Oreochromis niloticus: one gene and its partner. The protein of the gene in region 2 interacts with the protein of the main gene of each other region in a pairwise test. Links are inferred from orthologs where the notes say so. Each region holds a gene or a part of one and is shown on either strand. Other genes may lie near its edges. The genes, in order: id1 and myf5.

Region 1 (7,726 bases), on a different chromosome or scaffold from region 2:
TTATAGAGGCTGCCCGGCCACACAGATAATATTACACGTGTTTAACAGTTTAACTGCTAAGTAATATCATAAATGATGAAAAAAGTGTTAAATAAGTCCACTCGTGGAAGCTTCTCCTAGAACTAAAACAGTGTAGTTGGTTCCCCCCCTTCTTTTCTTTCCTCTTTTAAGTATATATAGCAAACTTATGGCATACGACTGTACTGTGGGAATCTCTATCCGACAAACTCTCTCTGTCTCTCCCCCTCCCTCTCTCTCTCTCTCTCTCGGTGTTGGCGTGGTTCCCGGCCCATCTGCGGCCTGGCCTGTGGATTACTGTTTGTTAATGTTTCAATCAGCTGTGTGTTGAGGAATGTGGAGCTATTTAACCTGAACTTCCCCAGGTGTGCCGAGGCGCCGCTCAGTCTGGGCCCCGCCGCCCTCCCCTGCCCTTGGCACAAAGCTATCACACAAACACAATCACACACTGGCCACGCCGGGGCTGCAGCTGTGCGCATCGCACCGCAGGGAAATGGGAAAAACATTGCACCAGGGAGACAGAATAAATCTTATAACGAATCGCCTCGCCAAAGCCATTTAACTCCTGCGGTGCCGGCAGATTTTTATTTTTTCGACTGCTGATTTACACGATAACATATTGAAACACCATATTTAAATGGATGTTTTATGTAGTGAAGAAAAGCCTTTTGTTTTTATTTATTTGATTTTATTTTCTAATCAATGGGTTGGCTTATCTTTGCCACAGAATTCGACACATGGGGGGAATAAATGAAAACCTTCGACAGAACATGTGTGTCACTAATGCGTGGTTTTAATTTAAAGTTTATGTCAAGACTTTATCTGTCAGGATATTTAAATGTGTAGATTTAAAGTGTGACTTCCTCTTGTAATGTGATGCTTTAATGGCTTATAGTGAGTCAAATTACCCATTAAACTGGCTGTGAACCAGTATGTTTACCACCAGCTTTGGTTTTTACGTTACTTGAAAGTAGGTGTAGCACTTTTCTGTGACAACTAGTTTACACTCTCCTAAATAAGAATATATGAGTGTACTCGTGTGATTAATTGGAATGCTAATAAGGCTTTAACGGTCATCATAGCGTAATCACCATGCAGTGTTATTTTTCACAGTTACAGCTCCCAGCAACGAAACCTCCCCAGGTATAGCATGTGAGTCAGATACCTTCTCACTCCCGCACACAGACACAGTGAGACAGAGGGATCTTGTTCAAAAATAATGATCTTGTTTTAATAAAAACACCAAATAATGTACATTGTAAGAAAACAATATCTTCACATATTGTGGCATTGTAATATACAATACAGTTTGTCGCTCAGGAATCTGAGAAATTAACTTTTTTTTCTTTTTAAATCTTTTACAAAAAATGTTGAATCCTCTACATGGTTTACACAAGATACAAAGAGCAGTAACAGAAATCTTTAGCTTTCTTTAGAAACTCTGCAAGCAACGGGCGATGCCGGTTGCGCTGAACTTCTCTTGGTCCCCTGGCTAACCCAGTCTATATCTGGACACTCTCTGCTCATCTTCCTCTCGTCTCGTGGCCCTCTTATAAATCGAGAACCGTTAAGTGACAAAAGTGAGGCTCTTCGCCGCAGAATGTCCACACAACTTGTTATCTAACACTGGGAGTACGAAACGTCCCTACACAGTTCAAGGTTGTAATTCTTGATGCGGTTCGAGAAGTCACATCAAGTAGCCTTGTTCATCCCCTCGCTGTGGTTGATGTGATGTGATGGGGCGATGCTCCAAGAGCTCTTAACGACACATGATCCTGTCATCTGAGCATCCGTTCTGCGGGAAGAAGAAAGTAGGTTGATTAGTACAACGCCGGTATATATATATATACACACATTTTTTTTTAAAGCACACGAGTTGTTATCCATGCGCAAATTGAGCTTTTACGCACAGGCTTGCAAACTTTACGCACCCGTACCGACACTTATATGCATGTTTTTATCTGAATGCATGCAGGTCTGTTTGGACTATCGCCCATTCGCTGATTCATTCAGTATGAGTGGCGAGATATTTACCTCCACTGAGATGCTTGCAAGCTCCGCGTTCAGAGTGGTAAGCGGCGTGCGGGGCACGCTGCTGACGGTGTGCTGGCGGCTCTTCTCCGGCTCGTCCAGCTCGACCTGCAGGTCCCAGATGTAGTCAATGACATGCTGCAAGATCTCCACTTTGCTAGCCTTCTTGTTTGTGGGCAGAGTGGGCACGAGCTCCTTCAGTTTGCTGTAGCAGCTGTTCATGTCCTGGAGGAATACGCTCATCTGCTCGTCCAGCAGCGGGATCTTGCACTTGGAGATGGTCAGGCTCTGATCGGACAGGCAGCGCACCACGTCCTCGCCTTTGCTCTTCAGGGCACAGGTAGATCCGACAACCTTCATCTTGATTAGTGTAGCTTCCAAAAATGACGAGTAAGAGAAAGAAGAGTTGTTGGGTTGGTCTCCTTTTTCAGGGATGATAGCAACACAATGTTGACAGTTCGCAACATCCACATGGGCAAACCTCCCCGGCTTTATAAGAAAGTAGAAGCCAGAGGCGGGGCCGAATCGTCCGGTTTGAAGGCGGACGGCCAATGGGGCAGCTGCGTTTGTATTGATGGAGGCGGTTCAAAACTTCTCTCTCAGCCAGTGACAGCGCTCGGCTGGTTATCGGGATTTACAATCTGTTTGAGGGATGGCGTTACAAATGGAAACAAATGTGTGTCTTTTATGGGTAATATGTGGGAATCCAGCTGTCCACGGCTTGGGGACTCTGCAGGTGTAGATTGCCTGGGGACAGTCAAAGGGTGGTGAATAGTTGGGTATGCGCTGTGAGAATGCGTGTGGGACGGGACGGGATGAATGGAATGAATGGCTAATGATAATTAGGCTACCACAGTGCCTTTTCACAATTGTTGATGCCACTGCAGATGTGGATGACAATAGTACAGTAAAAGTTTAAAGAACTCATTTGGCCGAATAATTCTGGGAAGGAGTAACCTTTTCTAAAAATGTATCTTTTTTTTCTTTTAGATTTACGTGGTTTGCGTGGAATGCAGCGTCTGAACAGTTAAGCGGTTTATTCCATTTTCCCGATCATTAGCTTATTACTATTCGATGTCACAATGTTGACCGATTTAGAAAAAAATCACGCTCCTAAAATCCTCGCTCTCTTCACTCAAAGCTTTCTTTATGCTCACAAACGGCACTTCTTTGGACGAGCAGTCTCTTTTTCCTGGCTCTCAGCGCTGAAGGAAGACCAGTGTGAGCATCGGCTTCACGGATTCCTTCACATGTTTCTGCAGTGTGTGCTCAGCCTTGTGTGTGTGTGTGTGTGTGTGTGTGCGCACACAGATCGCATCGCTCTGTTCCGAATCTTCCCCCCAGATTGTCCAAACAAGCCCGAGCAGACTGGCAGGCGCCACTGCGGTGACGTCACCCATTCATCCGAGCCTTGACGCCTGTCAGCCTGGCGCCGCTCGGGCGGTCTCCATGGAGACGTTAAACAAGAGAGCGCGCACTCCGGCACTCCTCCATTCACCTGCGTGGCGCGCGGAGCCCTGAGAACAAACCGGCTCCGGAGCTTTTGTCGTTCATTTATCACCTTAAAGCAGCGGGATGAGATTACCGCCCCGCGCACCTGCAGAGCAGCTGCTGTCAGCCGGAGCTACAAAGGAGTTAGGACACAAACTAGCTGTAGCATTCCTTCAAACGACCGACATTCACTACGTTACAATTTTAAAAAAAGATGCATGCATTCTATTACATATGCAGGAATTCCGTTGACCACCGTGTTAGTGAGAACCGGTATGAATGCGTCATGCATCAAACGCCTTTCTGTTTCCTGTCTGCTAATGTCATGCAAATAATGCAGAAAATCTGAAATAAAAAAAGCTGATAAAGGAAAATTTGTGCCATTAAGCAAATAGAATGACCGCTCTAAGCGTCATATTGTTACATAATATTTTACTGTTGATTTATAAATGGAATAATACGTTTTATACAGTGTTTAATAGATGAGGCATAAAGTTTTAAGTTAGCTGGTGTGAAAACTGAGAGCACGTCAGGTAAAGTTCTGAAACAATCCAAACCAGTTTTTTTTTCCAACTAAGTTTTAAGGTGGAAATAATTTGCCTTGGTATTTGCATAACAATCCCCGTGAAACAGAAAGTAAAAGCAAGTACTGCAAGAAATATGTAGGAGAAGAAACAGATGCATAATGAAAACATTATATAAATGGTTTCCCTTTGTGAAAAGTTTTACAGTCCAGTGCAGGAATGCGTAGAATAAGTAAAAAAAAAAAAAAAAAAAAAAAAAAAAAACTTCAGAGAAAGTGCTGTGCAAAGGTATTAAAACTAGCTAATGCATTAATGTAATGCACGAATAAAGTGAACAGTAAGCAGTAAAGTTGCACAAGTATCGGTATAATACCGTACAATATATTCCTAACAACAACTTTCATGTTTACAATTGCAATAATTGTTGGTTTAATGCATATATATAAAAAAGAATAATTTATATGTTGATATTTGCGCTGACTGACTAAACTCTTAGCTTTGCATCATTCCTTTTGCAGGAGGAAGAAATTATAAACAGCTTGCTCTCTTCACATTTTAATATAAATGCCATTTATAGCTGCTGCTTATATCTGCACAGATGTTGTGCCATACCAGAGATAACGTCAGTATAACAAACTTAACTACCACCGGCTGTTACTTCTAGCTGTTGCAGTAGCCTGTAAAAACTTTTTCTTCTTTACTTTCTTGTCTTTTCTTTTCTTTCCCTTTTTTTTTCTTGCCCTCTGTCCTAGGTCGCAGCTGACAGGGCGGAGGGAAGGCCGGGTGGGCAGAACAATGGGAGTGCGGTGCAGGGATTGTGGGAGAGAATCTAGGCTGGAGCCACAGTGTCTGGAGCGCCCCTCCACTCCCCTCATCCAGCTTTTGTTCAGCTGCAAAAGCTATCAGCACTTCCTACTGACACCAACAATAACTCCACACAGCTGGGCCCTTTTTAGCCTGTTTACAGCACATCAAGGCGAGGGGAGCGAGAGAGAGAGAAGACAGAGGGAAGAGGCAGAGGACGGGAAAGAAAAGTGAAACATATTAGCTCCTGATTTTAACTGACAGAATGGCAGTGCCCTCTCTTTCTCTCCCCGCTCCCCTTCCCTCCTTCATCACTGACACAGAATTCATTTCCCCGTGGACTCTTTATATGTGAGCTGATTATGGCTCTGTGTTTTAACTTTTTATTTTTGACAGGCTACTGTTTGTGTCAGTGCTCTTGCAGCATCGCACGTCATCAAACGGCAAAAAGAAGCGCTGGTATTTTTCTTTCAAGGACACGGTGTATCTTTGCAGCATTTATGCCAGCACACAAACACTTTTCTGGTAGCTTTTTTTTCCTAGATAAGTTGTTCCATTCGGTGGAGGGGAAACATATTAGCTAATACGCCCTCTTTATCGCTACGGCAAACAGATCTATAAAAGCACACCGCAGGAAGCCGCATGGGTGGGTGGGGGGGCAAAAGTTGGTGCAGGAATTCACTGGGAGGAAATAGGACATTCCAGTAATGCTTTGACACTTTTGCTGCTGTTATTATTGCTGCGAGGACAATAAGTAGCCCTCGTACTACTTCCTGAAACATGAAAGTGACCAAAGCACAATTATGCTTTCTTGGACAGAGGATTTTGACTTTGGTATGATTCTCCAAATACGATGTCGAAAAGAAACAGGGAGGAATTTGATTATGAAAAGCAAGTGTCACTTTTAAGTTTTCAACAATTTTCACTAACATACACAAACACACACAAATACACACACAAATGCACACGCCACTCCTCGCAGCTGTGGGATTAGTTTCCAGTTCCCAGTCAGGCTCTTCCTGTTTGCTTGATAATGATCACACCTGTGTGCAGGTGTGTGGAGAGGCTCATATGGGACAGGGAGAAGCGTGGGTGGGGGTGGGGGGAGTGTGGTGTCAGGTATAAAAACTTGTGGTACCGCACCACAATGTCACGTCTATCCTCGGATGATTGATTGATGACCCATGGCACCTCAGGCTCCTCACATTCGACACAAAAATATAGAAAGTTCAGCACATAGAAAGTGCTGATCCGTGTGAGATTTTTAGTTGTGTTTTTTAAACATAGTGCGTCACACCTTCTGTGGGTGTGTTTCCGCCTGGATCCTCGTGTGCCCCGGCGTGGCCTGGCACCTCCCTGGCAAGCCCAGCCCGTGTAATGACTGAGGACCAGTGGTTAGGACTCACTTCCTGTGGGAGTCCCAGTTCACAGATGTGTCATCAAAAAGTGCAGACCGGCTGGAGCCTCACCGCCTGTTGGGTGTTTTTCCTGTGTGCAGGGAGCAGACTGGGTGGGTGGATGGACGCCCTTCCCTGAGAGCAGGGGCAGGTTACGGGAACGCTATCTCCATCTGATAGTTGGTGTGCAGCTGAAGCTCGTGGAGATCCTTGAAGTTCCCCCCCACCCAGGTGTCCTCTGCTCAGCGTCCTTGCCCTGAGAGGAATCATTGGACAGCTTGGTCCCTCTATATCTGTTTCTCTCAGTTGTCTTCATGTGTATGTGTGCGTTCACCGGACCCAAAGCTCACCCCCCCCCTTTACACCCCTGTGGCCATCTCCCTCCGCCTGGTTCCCACACACACTATCAAAGCCCTTTAATGGTTTCTAATTAGCTCCCCATCTGCTGGTGACAGCGCACTGGTGGCATGCTAAAGCACCCATTGAGAGCATAGGCATTGTGCTCTGGAATACTTTCCACTCCAGTGGCAATTGCCTGGAGAGCGAGCTTTAGCTGGGAGTGCGTGTGTTGTGGGGAGGAGTGGGTGTTCAGAGGTGGGGTGGGGTGGGGGGACTGGGAGTCTTCTCTACGGTTAGGGGTTCGGGGGAGGGCCGGGTTGGAAGGATACACAATGAGAGACAGTGTTACGGCTTGTTGCAAATCTAATAACACCAGAGTCCCTTTTCCGTTCAGTGGTCATCCCCATCACCCACCAACCCTCCATCCGCCTAGCAAGTATTTCACCTCAGCCCTCCCCCTACTTCTTTCGGTCTAGCAACAGTTTGACATCACACAGGTGCCATTTTGGATGTTTTAACACTAACTTTATATTGAGGCTGTAGTAAAACTGTAAACACAGGCTGAAGAGATTCTCTTTTATCCTGAGAAGTTGCCTTCTTGGACTGAACAACAAACGCACCTCTATAGACACTGTAAATGCAGCCTAATGAGGCCTCTTCATTAGCACAACCTGTCTGTGTGTGAATACTGGCTTTTTGTCGGCTCTTACAAGCCCCTCTCCTTTCCAGGACTTCCAGCAGAGTCCAGGTCCGCTAGTAGCAGAAGGGGAAGCCAGCTGTTCTCAGCTGGTTGCCACAAGATGCCTATGGGGGACAGGCCTGATTGCTGCTGGCCAGCTGCCCCCTGCTGCAGGCGGGAGATGGAGAACAATAAATAAGAGCTTCTGCCTGCGCTCACATGTCCAGCGTTACCTAATTTTACCTGGAACATCCCTGTTGAAATGCATATTGTTTGCATATGCATAATTTACCCTTAGAGTGAACTTAAAAGTGATGCATTTACTGTAGTTTGCAAAGTATGAATTTCTGCCATGTGAGAACAAAAGCTGCTGCTGAACTCAAGAGAAGATGGGAACTCATTCTGTTGTTTTTAAGATTCCATGGTAACTGAATGCATCCCTT
Region 2 (8,685 bases):
GCAGATGACCCGCTCTACCTCCTGAGCTACAGACATCCCAAGCCACCCACAGATTATTTGGTTCTTCTGGCCTCATTGAGCAGTGACCTCCAGCGTGTACTATGTTGATTTGCATCAGAGTGTGGAGAACAAGCACCTTTAAGACCCTGGTCCTCAGCCGGAAAAAGGGTGAAGTGCTCACCTCTTTTCGGTGAGCGGAGAGAGGAGCACAAAATTTACAGACAGATTCACACGATGTCTGCAGTGATGGAGAAGGTCCCGGGGCTGACCCAAGAGATGCCAGGGAGATTATGTCTCTCTCTGGCATCTCTCGGGTCCCAGGCTGGGAGGTCTGGGTGTCTCTACTGAAACTGCTGCTCCCTGCAACCCGAACCTGGATAAGCAGCACTAAAAGAATGTGTTGTTTAGCAAGATTAATGTAACATAACAACAACAAAAAAGAGTAAAATAAGAAAAAAAAATTGTGCAATCAGATAATTACAACTGATGCATTTACGCAAAAGTAGCATGGTAATACTTTAGATGATCCAAGTGGAGCTGTATCAGATTTGTGTGGTTTACATTAAATTCTGGTTTTACGTGATAATATGTTTTTGAAATTCTTACCTTTCTGATAAATGAACTGATACATTATTACAGCTTTCCAGCTCATTCCTTGAAAACCAGCTTTCTTAGTGCATGATCAAAGACATGATGGAGTATGACACATATGTGACCCCCTCCACCTCCGCCGCCTCCTCCTCTTCAGTCACACAATACATGCAATTAGAGGCCATTTGTTCTTAACTCTTGTGTTGATGGTGTAATCAAGGGTGTTAATGATGACTCACGTTTGGTAGGAAGGAACAAACAGGTATACACACACACACACACACACACACAGAGTGCAGCTTTACACTTCACGAGGACAGAGACACAAAAATGAGTTTAGAGATGTTTTTGAATTTTTTCCTTTATTTACACAGTTGTCTGTTTTTATTGAATCATTTCTGTGATCCAGGAAAGACACCACGTATTTGGCTTTTACAGTGCTGTACTGACTCATCAGCAAACAGGCTACATGAATGATTATAGCAGGGTAAAAATGATAAACGATATCAGATGACCTCTATCAGTGATCCTGACACCTTGTTAGCTGAAGAAAACTCCAAGATGTCCGGGACACTCCACGCGTGAGGCACATAATAAATAACTTGGCCTTTTATTTTGACAGTTTTTTTGGACTGCTAATCATGATTCTGCAAATGAATATAAATCTGCCATCGTAAGGAATAATTTAACTGTTCTAGAAACAATCTTTTTTAAAACCTTAAAAAAGCCAAAGAGATCAAAAGATAAAAAGTGAAATGACAGCAGTCGCTTTCAGCATCAGTGAATTGTTCATTATTAATTCACTTTTGCTGCAAAGCTCTATTAAAGTGAGGGAGATTCATGCTAATCAGGATTTTCAAATTTTTTTTGCAGACATTTTATTTTTCGGTCTCCAAAATTTCAGCGTAGCATCTGCTTAACTAGAAAAAAACTGGTTTCTAAATACAAAAAAAGTAGAAAAAAGACCAAAGAACAAAACAGGGGATGTAACAGTGTAGCACAACACTCCTTCAATTCAGTTCACTTTTTATTCATGTATATATAGTGCCAATAAAAGCAACATTAGTCATTTCATGACACTTTACAATAAAAAATAAAAATAAAAAAAATTAAAAAGTGGGGATAAAAGAACTCCCTTTTAACAGGACGAAACCTGCTAAAACTCACACTCAACTGAACTGAACTGCTTAAATACCATTTCTTTTTTGAATAATGCAACATTACATCAGCTGTTACAATTAAATATGTCTCACTGGGGATAATAGAAAGTATAGAATAAATGGGCATTTACATTATATATTTACAATCTCATGTACAGTACAAAAGCTGGCCGCCGCGCGTCCCTCAGGTTCTGCTGGGTTTTCCTCCCACTTGCCCAAAACTAGTTCTTATCGCTTTTGGTTGCAAATGCAGCTGGTGTTGGGTAAAAGCACGGCGCCCGCCTGAGGCAATATATATTCACATCAAAGCAAGGTTTCCTTCACAGGACGTGGTAGACGGGCCTGGATCCGGGGCTCTCCGGTGTGCAGGGCTGTGAGTCAGAGCTGCCGGGGGAGAAGCTGGACGTGTTTCTAAGGCCAGCCGGCCCACAGCTGCTGGACTCCACCGAGGACAGGCGGTCCACGATACTGGACAGGCACTCCAGACTGGACGCTCCGGCTGCTTTATCATCCACGCTATCTGATGAAGAGGATCCCAAATTCAAATTAGCCAAGTCTGGATCATACAGCTGATACATGTTATATAAGCTGACTTTAAGGCCTCAAATTAAAGATGGAACCTTAATAAAATAAAGTCTAAATATAACATAATCTGCTGTTCAGGTATTAGTTTTTAAAGCCCTGCAGGCAAGAATTCACATTATATTCATATCAAACTGCTGCTTAAGTTAAAAGGTCTTACTGTTCTTTGCATATGAATAGCCGTTGCTGTAGTTTGCATTCAGCTGTTGCCACACTGGACTGTTGCTGTCAGCCTGAAAGGAAATGAGAAATTGAATTTACCCTTGAATTCCTTCAAATACTTGCAAACAGACAGATATGATAAGCTGCTTGTTTAAACCGCTGTGTTATATTGGATAGGAAGAAAACACCCAGTGCAGTGCCCGCCATATATTCCGGACAGGCTAATAAATCCTGAATTCCAAAGTTATTGGCTTCTTTATTTCACATGCACCTTAAAGCCAAAGTGGTTTTTTGTGCCCTCCCCTCCCCGGCCCGACTCCGAGTGTAGCGAATCGATTGTATCAGTGGAAGCAACACCAGTTTGTGCAAGATGACACTTTCTCCTAGTAAATCTGCAGAAAATCCTGGCAGCGGTGCAGAACATGCAGTCAGGATGGAATGCAGAAAAGCGCCCAGTTTTGCCTGCCAGACTTCAGTAAGGTGGATTTAGCTTGGTTTAATGGGGCTATAAAGTGTCCGGTGGTGGGAAAGCCATTAGTCCAATCCAGCGTTATAAGTTGTTTTTGTATTATCTGATGCAAAGTCACCTTCAAACAGAGATTCAATATGACCTGTAATAATAAGCATCGCAAGCAGAGGACGGAGATTCTTGTAAGACAACATAATAGATGTTTGTATTACGGAATTATGGGAGGTGTTTGTCATGCATGGAAAACCATGATAATTATGGTCTTGAGGCAAAGCAAGCTCATTTGATTAACAGGTTGCTAAAGTGGAAATCAGGGTTCTGCATTGAAATAAAAAACTTGATAAGGTAAAGGGAACTGATAGAAGTGGTCTTGTTCAACACTGATGATGACTTTAGCAGTAAACAACAATAAAGACCTTTTCCAGGATTTACTGTGCAGTGGTTCTAATTTTTTTGCTGCTCAAGACCCTGATAAAACCAGGCACTTGCATAAAGAGGCTGAAGATGGGGATCAGCGGTCTTACCATGCCATCAGAGCAGCTGGACAGCGGGCTTCCAGGCTCAGAGCTGCTCTCTCCAGGTAGGCCATAAAAGTTTTCCACCTGTTCTCGTAGCAGCTCCTGCAGGCTCTCGATGTACTGGATGGCGTTGCGCAGGATCTCCACCTTGGGCAGGCGCTGGCTGGGGTTGGCCGAAGTGCAACGCCTCAAAGCCTCAAAAGCGTGGTTCACCTTCTTCAGCCGCCGGCGCTCGCGCATGGTGGCAGCCCGTCTGCGATCCACAAAGCTCGACTTGCGCTTGCAGGCCTTACAGGCCCACTGGAGGCAATGTCCTGGCTGGTGGGGGGCTCCTGGAACCCTGACGTGCTCGTCCTCCTCGGAGCCAGCAAGCTCCATGCCTGGGCCAAAATCCAGGCTGTCTGGAGAGGAAGCACATGCTCTGTCATAGTAGACCTGTGATGGTGAGAAGACATCCATGGCTTGTTAAAGTCTGAATGGATGGAGATGGCCGCAAAGGAAGGAAGGAGGGTAGTAGAGTTTGGGTGAAAGAGAAGAAACCTCTGAGTGATATGAGGGGTCTGTTGCCCCAGGCCCCCCTTATATGCCCCGAGGCCAAAGCCCAGGGCCCACATTGGCCAGATCTAATTACCATGGCCCATTGGCCCAGCCAGAAGGCAGGCAGGAGTCGGCTCTTCTCCCTCCCTGCCCCATCCCAACTCGCTGCTTCTCACCCCCCAGTACCCTGTGGAGTTTCCCACATCTGCACTTACTGGTGTTTTCCCACTCATCAACACTCTTCTCTTACAAGTCCACAATTAATACAAGGCTTAGAAATGTTTAAGGGGAGTGCAGCTTTAACCAAAGCTGGCATGTTTTAAAGCGCTAATAAGTATTGTAATGTATTATTTATGCTGCATGTATCTGTAACCAGCCTTTAGGCATCATGTCATAGCGCACAGTGAAAGTGACACTTGGCTATGAAGACATGAACATCGCAGAGTGTTTTTAGTTTAGTCAAATTCTGCTGAAAAAGAGGGTGACCACTTGTTGGAGTATGCAGGGCAATTTTTACGGTGAAGACAACAGCGTTGCAGATGCAGCCCAGCTGCAAAGGAAGGTGTAGCATTTCAAGCCCTGTGAATTCACATTAGTGCGGTAAGCCCCCCCTCCAAACACTCAAACTCATCACTTAAGGTGCTGTGAATGAGCCGATCCCTGTTTGCAAAAGCTCATTAAAACAGTAATTATTGCACTGACACCACTGCACAACTCCCTGCAACATTGGGGACCAAATTTTAACCGTTAAAAGTTATTGACATGACTCAAGCACACAACAGATGGCCGTGATGGTGCAGAGGCTTTCATTCAAGGGGATGACTCAGGGATTACGGAGTGAGGATGTTTACAGTGAAGATAATTCAATATTTGTCCCTGTAGTGGCTCTCCAACTTCTTTTTTTCTGACTGATAAACATTCAAGTCCCACATCCCGCAGTTTTTAATCCATCTTTAACAATAACAAAGGATCTGAGCTGAATTTTTGAAGGCCAACACTGCAGAATCAGCAAATCAGATTCATTCTTATGTCCCTTCCTTGCGGTGCCCACCCCAATGTTTGAGGCTAATTTAACAGAATAAAAATATACAGTGAAAACGATCCAAAGCCTTTTCTCAAATTGCATTTTCCCCATATTTTAACATCTCTGTAGAGGTTAAGATTTGCAGAAACATCTAAAGATTCCGAAATAATGCTTTTCACAGTTTGACCCAGTCCAGCTGGTTTAGGTAATGATGTTGGTGACAGCTTACAAGGATACAATGCGGATATTTCTCACAATGTGTCAAAGCGTTTGGCACGACCCGCACCCCCTCCAGCCCCATCACCACTTCTCTGGGAACTGCGCACACCTAAGAAAACACCAGTACCTGCTGCTGCCTCTGAATTGCCGTCGGAGTTTGGATTAGGCACAGCTGAAGAAGACATCGGCTCGCCTGAGCTTGTAGCTAGCTGCGAAGATCAAAGGCTGTTTAGACTGAGAACAACTCGGACAATGAGAAAACCTGGCATCAGCTTAATTGAGCCGGGGGGTTAGATTAGTGCAGCACATGGCGTAATGAGACGGGGAGATGATATTGCGCGCAGGCTGGAGATGTGATCTGCGCACTCGGCTCGTCTCTGGGGAGCTCTCCGAGTTTGCTTTTTTGTTGTTCTCAAGGGTCAAAGACAGAGTTAAGTGAAGGGCAGGAGGTGATCTTTTTATGTTTCATCTGCCTCACGTCTGAAAACCTTATGTCTTCTAAACTGCCTCACGCTTTGACTTTATGCTGCTTTTTTGGTGCTGCACCATCCCCCGATAGAGAGGCAGTGCATCGCTTACATTCCTCCTCCCATTTAGCAAAATAAACGGTTTTATGGAAATCTATAAATAAATGTATTTTTATTAAATAAACCCAAACTATGCAGAGTTACAGGATCTACAGTATGAACTTGTCAGAACAGTAAAAGTACTGAGTGGCCACTTTGAATAGCATCAAAAGTTGTTGGGATTGAAAAGTGGTTTAGAGGCATTTTTGCGGGGGGGGGGGGGTACTCCTTTTTATGACAGTCCCACTGAGGGTGATTAATTAGTTTGTACAGTATGAACATAAATAAATTGCAATGGTTTCTATGCATCGGCATGTCTGCTTTTCGTTTGGATTGTTAATAACAATGTCAAAACTTTTTAAAAGGAAAAAAAAACTTGCTTTCTCGCATTACAGTCACTTTGAAATAACAGCAAAATATTCTCTATATGTAAAAATATGTAAAATGTAAGTTGAGTAATTAATGAGTGATTATGATGCAGGTAACAGTGTGAAAATTAAGTCAATCTTAAAATGCAAGTTTGTGTAAATTACAAGATTCCCATTGAGATTTATTGAACCTCTTGATGTGTTCACTTGACCCAGTGGTTCTCAGACTTTTTCTACCATGCCCCACTCCAGAGGCCAAACACAGCCCATGTCCCCTTTTCTTTCTTATTAACATTTAAGTTGAATTTTATTCAAAATAAAAATATCAAATATATATTTATTCGAGTGAGGTTAACTTCATGGCACAGAAGGAGCAAGAGGAAGTCATGGAGAGGTTGGCAGGAAGTCAGAATATCTGATCAAAATATAAAAACAACAGCAGTTTGTGCTGATTCATGTTTGTGAACATAAATATTCCCTTAAAAAAGTTCCTCTGCACGAATTTCCAACGTTATTTCAAGTCCCTGAACACAACTTCTTCTTTTTTTTTAATCATTTCACTCTTATATGCACTGATTAAGAAGAAAAAATGTCCACATTTGAAAATGGGAGGTGTGGTGGACTCCAAAGACCTAAGCTTAAAACATTCAGATCACAGTTGTTCACATATTTGTATGATTTTTAAATATGTTTTAAGTAGGAATGTGTTACTTGGTGTGTTTAGAAAAAGTAATGGTTTGGGTTAGTGCAACTATCATATATATATAAATATAATAAATAAATAAATAAATAAATACATAAAGTTTAGTTTAACTAAACTTTATTTAGTTCCTGATTTATCTATAAAAAAAAAAAAATACATGCTGACATGAAAATGGTATTGCTGGTGGGAATACCCCTTCCAATGCCCAACAGTGGGCACGTCCCTGTTATATTATCATACTGATTAGATGTTTAAAATGTTATAACCTGAAAGAAAAACTCTATTGCTCCTAACTGGGTCCTTACCTCAGTTTGCCCTACATGAAAAGCTGTGGATGAAAGGAAAAAAGCAAACAAAAGCAATCAAATAAAATCAAAATCAAAAGAAAGAACAATGGATTTTATTTTTCAAAGCGCAGTGTTTTTGGTTAAAGGCAATTTCCCACCCACATAAAATCCAAGTCCATTTTACATTCCCCACAAGAACGAAAGAAAAAAAAAATGAGTGGCAACACCATTTGTGTTGGCAGTGAGCAGAAAGAGGTGCACCGCCAGCACCGTCAGTACTGAATCCTTTCCTAGCAGGATATTCAAGGAAAGTCTGAGTAAATCAGAGCATTTCAGCCTCCAGGCTTATCCCCCCTCCTATAACAGCTCGCCTTTCATCAGCTTTAACTTTTAAAACGCTGCCTTCACAGCCAAATGACAATTATATGGTGTCATCAGTAACACCGAAATCCCCGTAAAGTCAGACAAGAGAAAGTCTGGACTTGGAGAGACCAGGGCTATTTCTGTGAGCATGCACACAGTCAGATGGTGCAAACACAACAATAAGACAATGAGGTTCAAAACACAGTGAATACAACTCTACTAACAGCACAGAAAACGTGCTTGTATTCACCACCACCCCCAAAACCCTCACACTCATCTGAGTTCTCTTTTTAAATGTGATTACTGGCCTCCATTGTAACAGATATTACATTCACAGCTACACATATGAGCTACACATCATTCACTGCTATCAGAATGAGTGAGTAGGAGCCCATTAAAATCACATTACTGTTAGCGCTATCGGATTTCTGTCTGGTTTCTACAGAAAAAAAAGGATGTTTAGTATAAGATGTATGATTGCTGAATAATACCATATTATATAGAACCTTGCATTAGTGTATGTTTACCAGCTTTAATTTAGTTTGGTTGTGGAAGTGTTAACTTCATTTTGGGAATAAAAGTACACAGTACTGTGAAAGTAATATTGCACAAACTTTTACTTTGAACCTTGAAGTATTTTTATTAATCTACACTCAAGTAGCTAAAGAAAAACCAAGAGTGTTATGCTTTATTCATAACATGCAGCTATGCATTAAATGTGGTAGAGGTGTTGTGTAGATAGGGAAACACACACTGCCCCAAAGCTAGAAAGACTAACGCAAAAAAAAAGCAACAGATGTAAAAGCGCTGCAGGTTTTCTTTGGAAATTGTCGAGCCATTACATTAAAAACAAACTCAATTCAATTACCTGGTCTAGACTAGTTAATAAATAAAAGGACATGTGTAAATGATGTGCATTAATGAGAGGAAACACTGGCATAAAATATAGAATGAAAAAAGCCTCACAGCTGTGGGAAGAAAGGTCCTTCTAATTAGCTTTGTAGAGCGTATTGGCATCCTGAACCAGTCACTCAACACACTTCAGACTACTTAAAATACATAGAACACCAAACAGACGAAGGCCTCCAAACCTCTGAACTTTCTTCCTGGTTGTTTTTAATGAATTATTGAATATA

Evidence for each region.
Region 1: the proteins of myf5 (region 2) and id1 interact in binary tests that used the Homo sapiens proteins (3 or more experiments, as listed by UniProt). The link is inferred for Oreochromis niloticus from reciprocal best matches to the Homo sapiens genes MYF5 and ID1.

The regions. Positions count from the first base shown.
Region 1 is NC_031970.2:30,956,346-30,964,071, forward strand, and holds id1 (DNA-binding protein inhibitor ID-1), read right to left. Parts: upstream 2,530-7,726; 5' UTR 2,410-2,529; coding exon 2,053-2,409; intron 1,814-2,052; coding exon 1,778-1,813; 3' UTR 1,223-1,777; downstream 1-1,222. UniProt on the Homo sapiens protein: Transcriptional regulator (lacking a basic DNA binding domain) which negatively regulates the basic helix-loop-helix (bHLH) transcription factors by forming heterodimers and inhibiting their DNA binding and transcriptional activity.
Region 2 is NC_031981.2:15,814,286-15,822,970, forward strand, and holds myf5 (myogenic factor 5), read right to left. Parts: upstream 4,040-8,685; 5' UTR 3,942-4,039; coding exon 3,489-3,941; intron 2,567-3,488; coding exon 2,494-2,566; intron 2,272-2,493; coding exon 2,072-2,271; 3' UTR 942-2,071; downstream 1-941.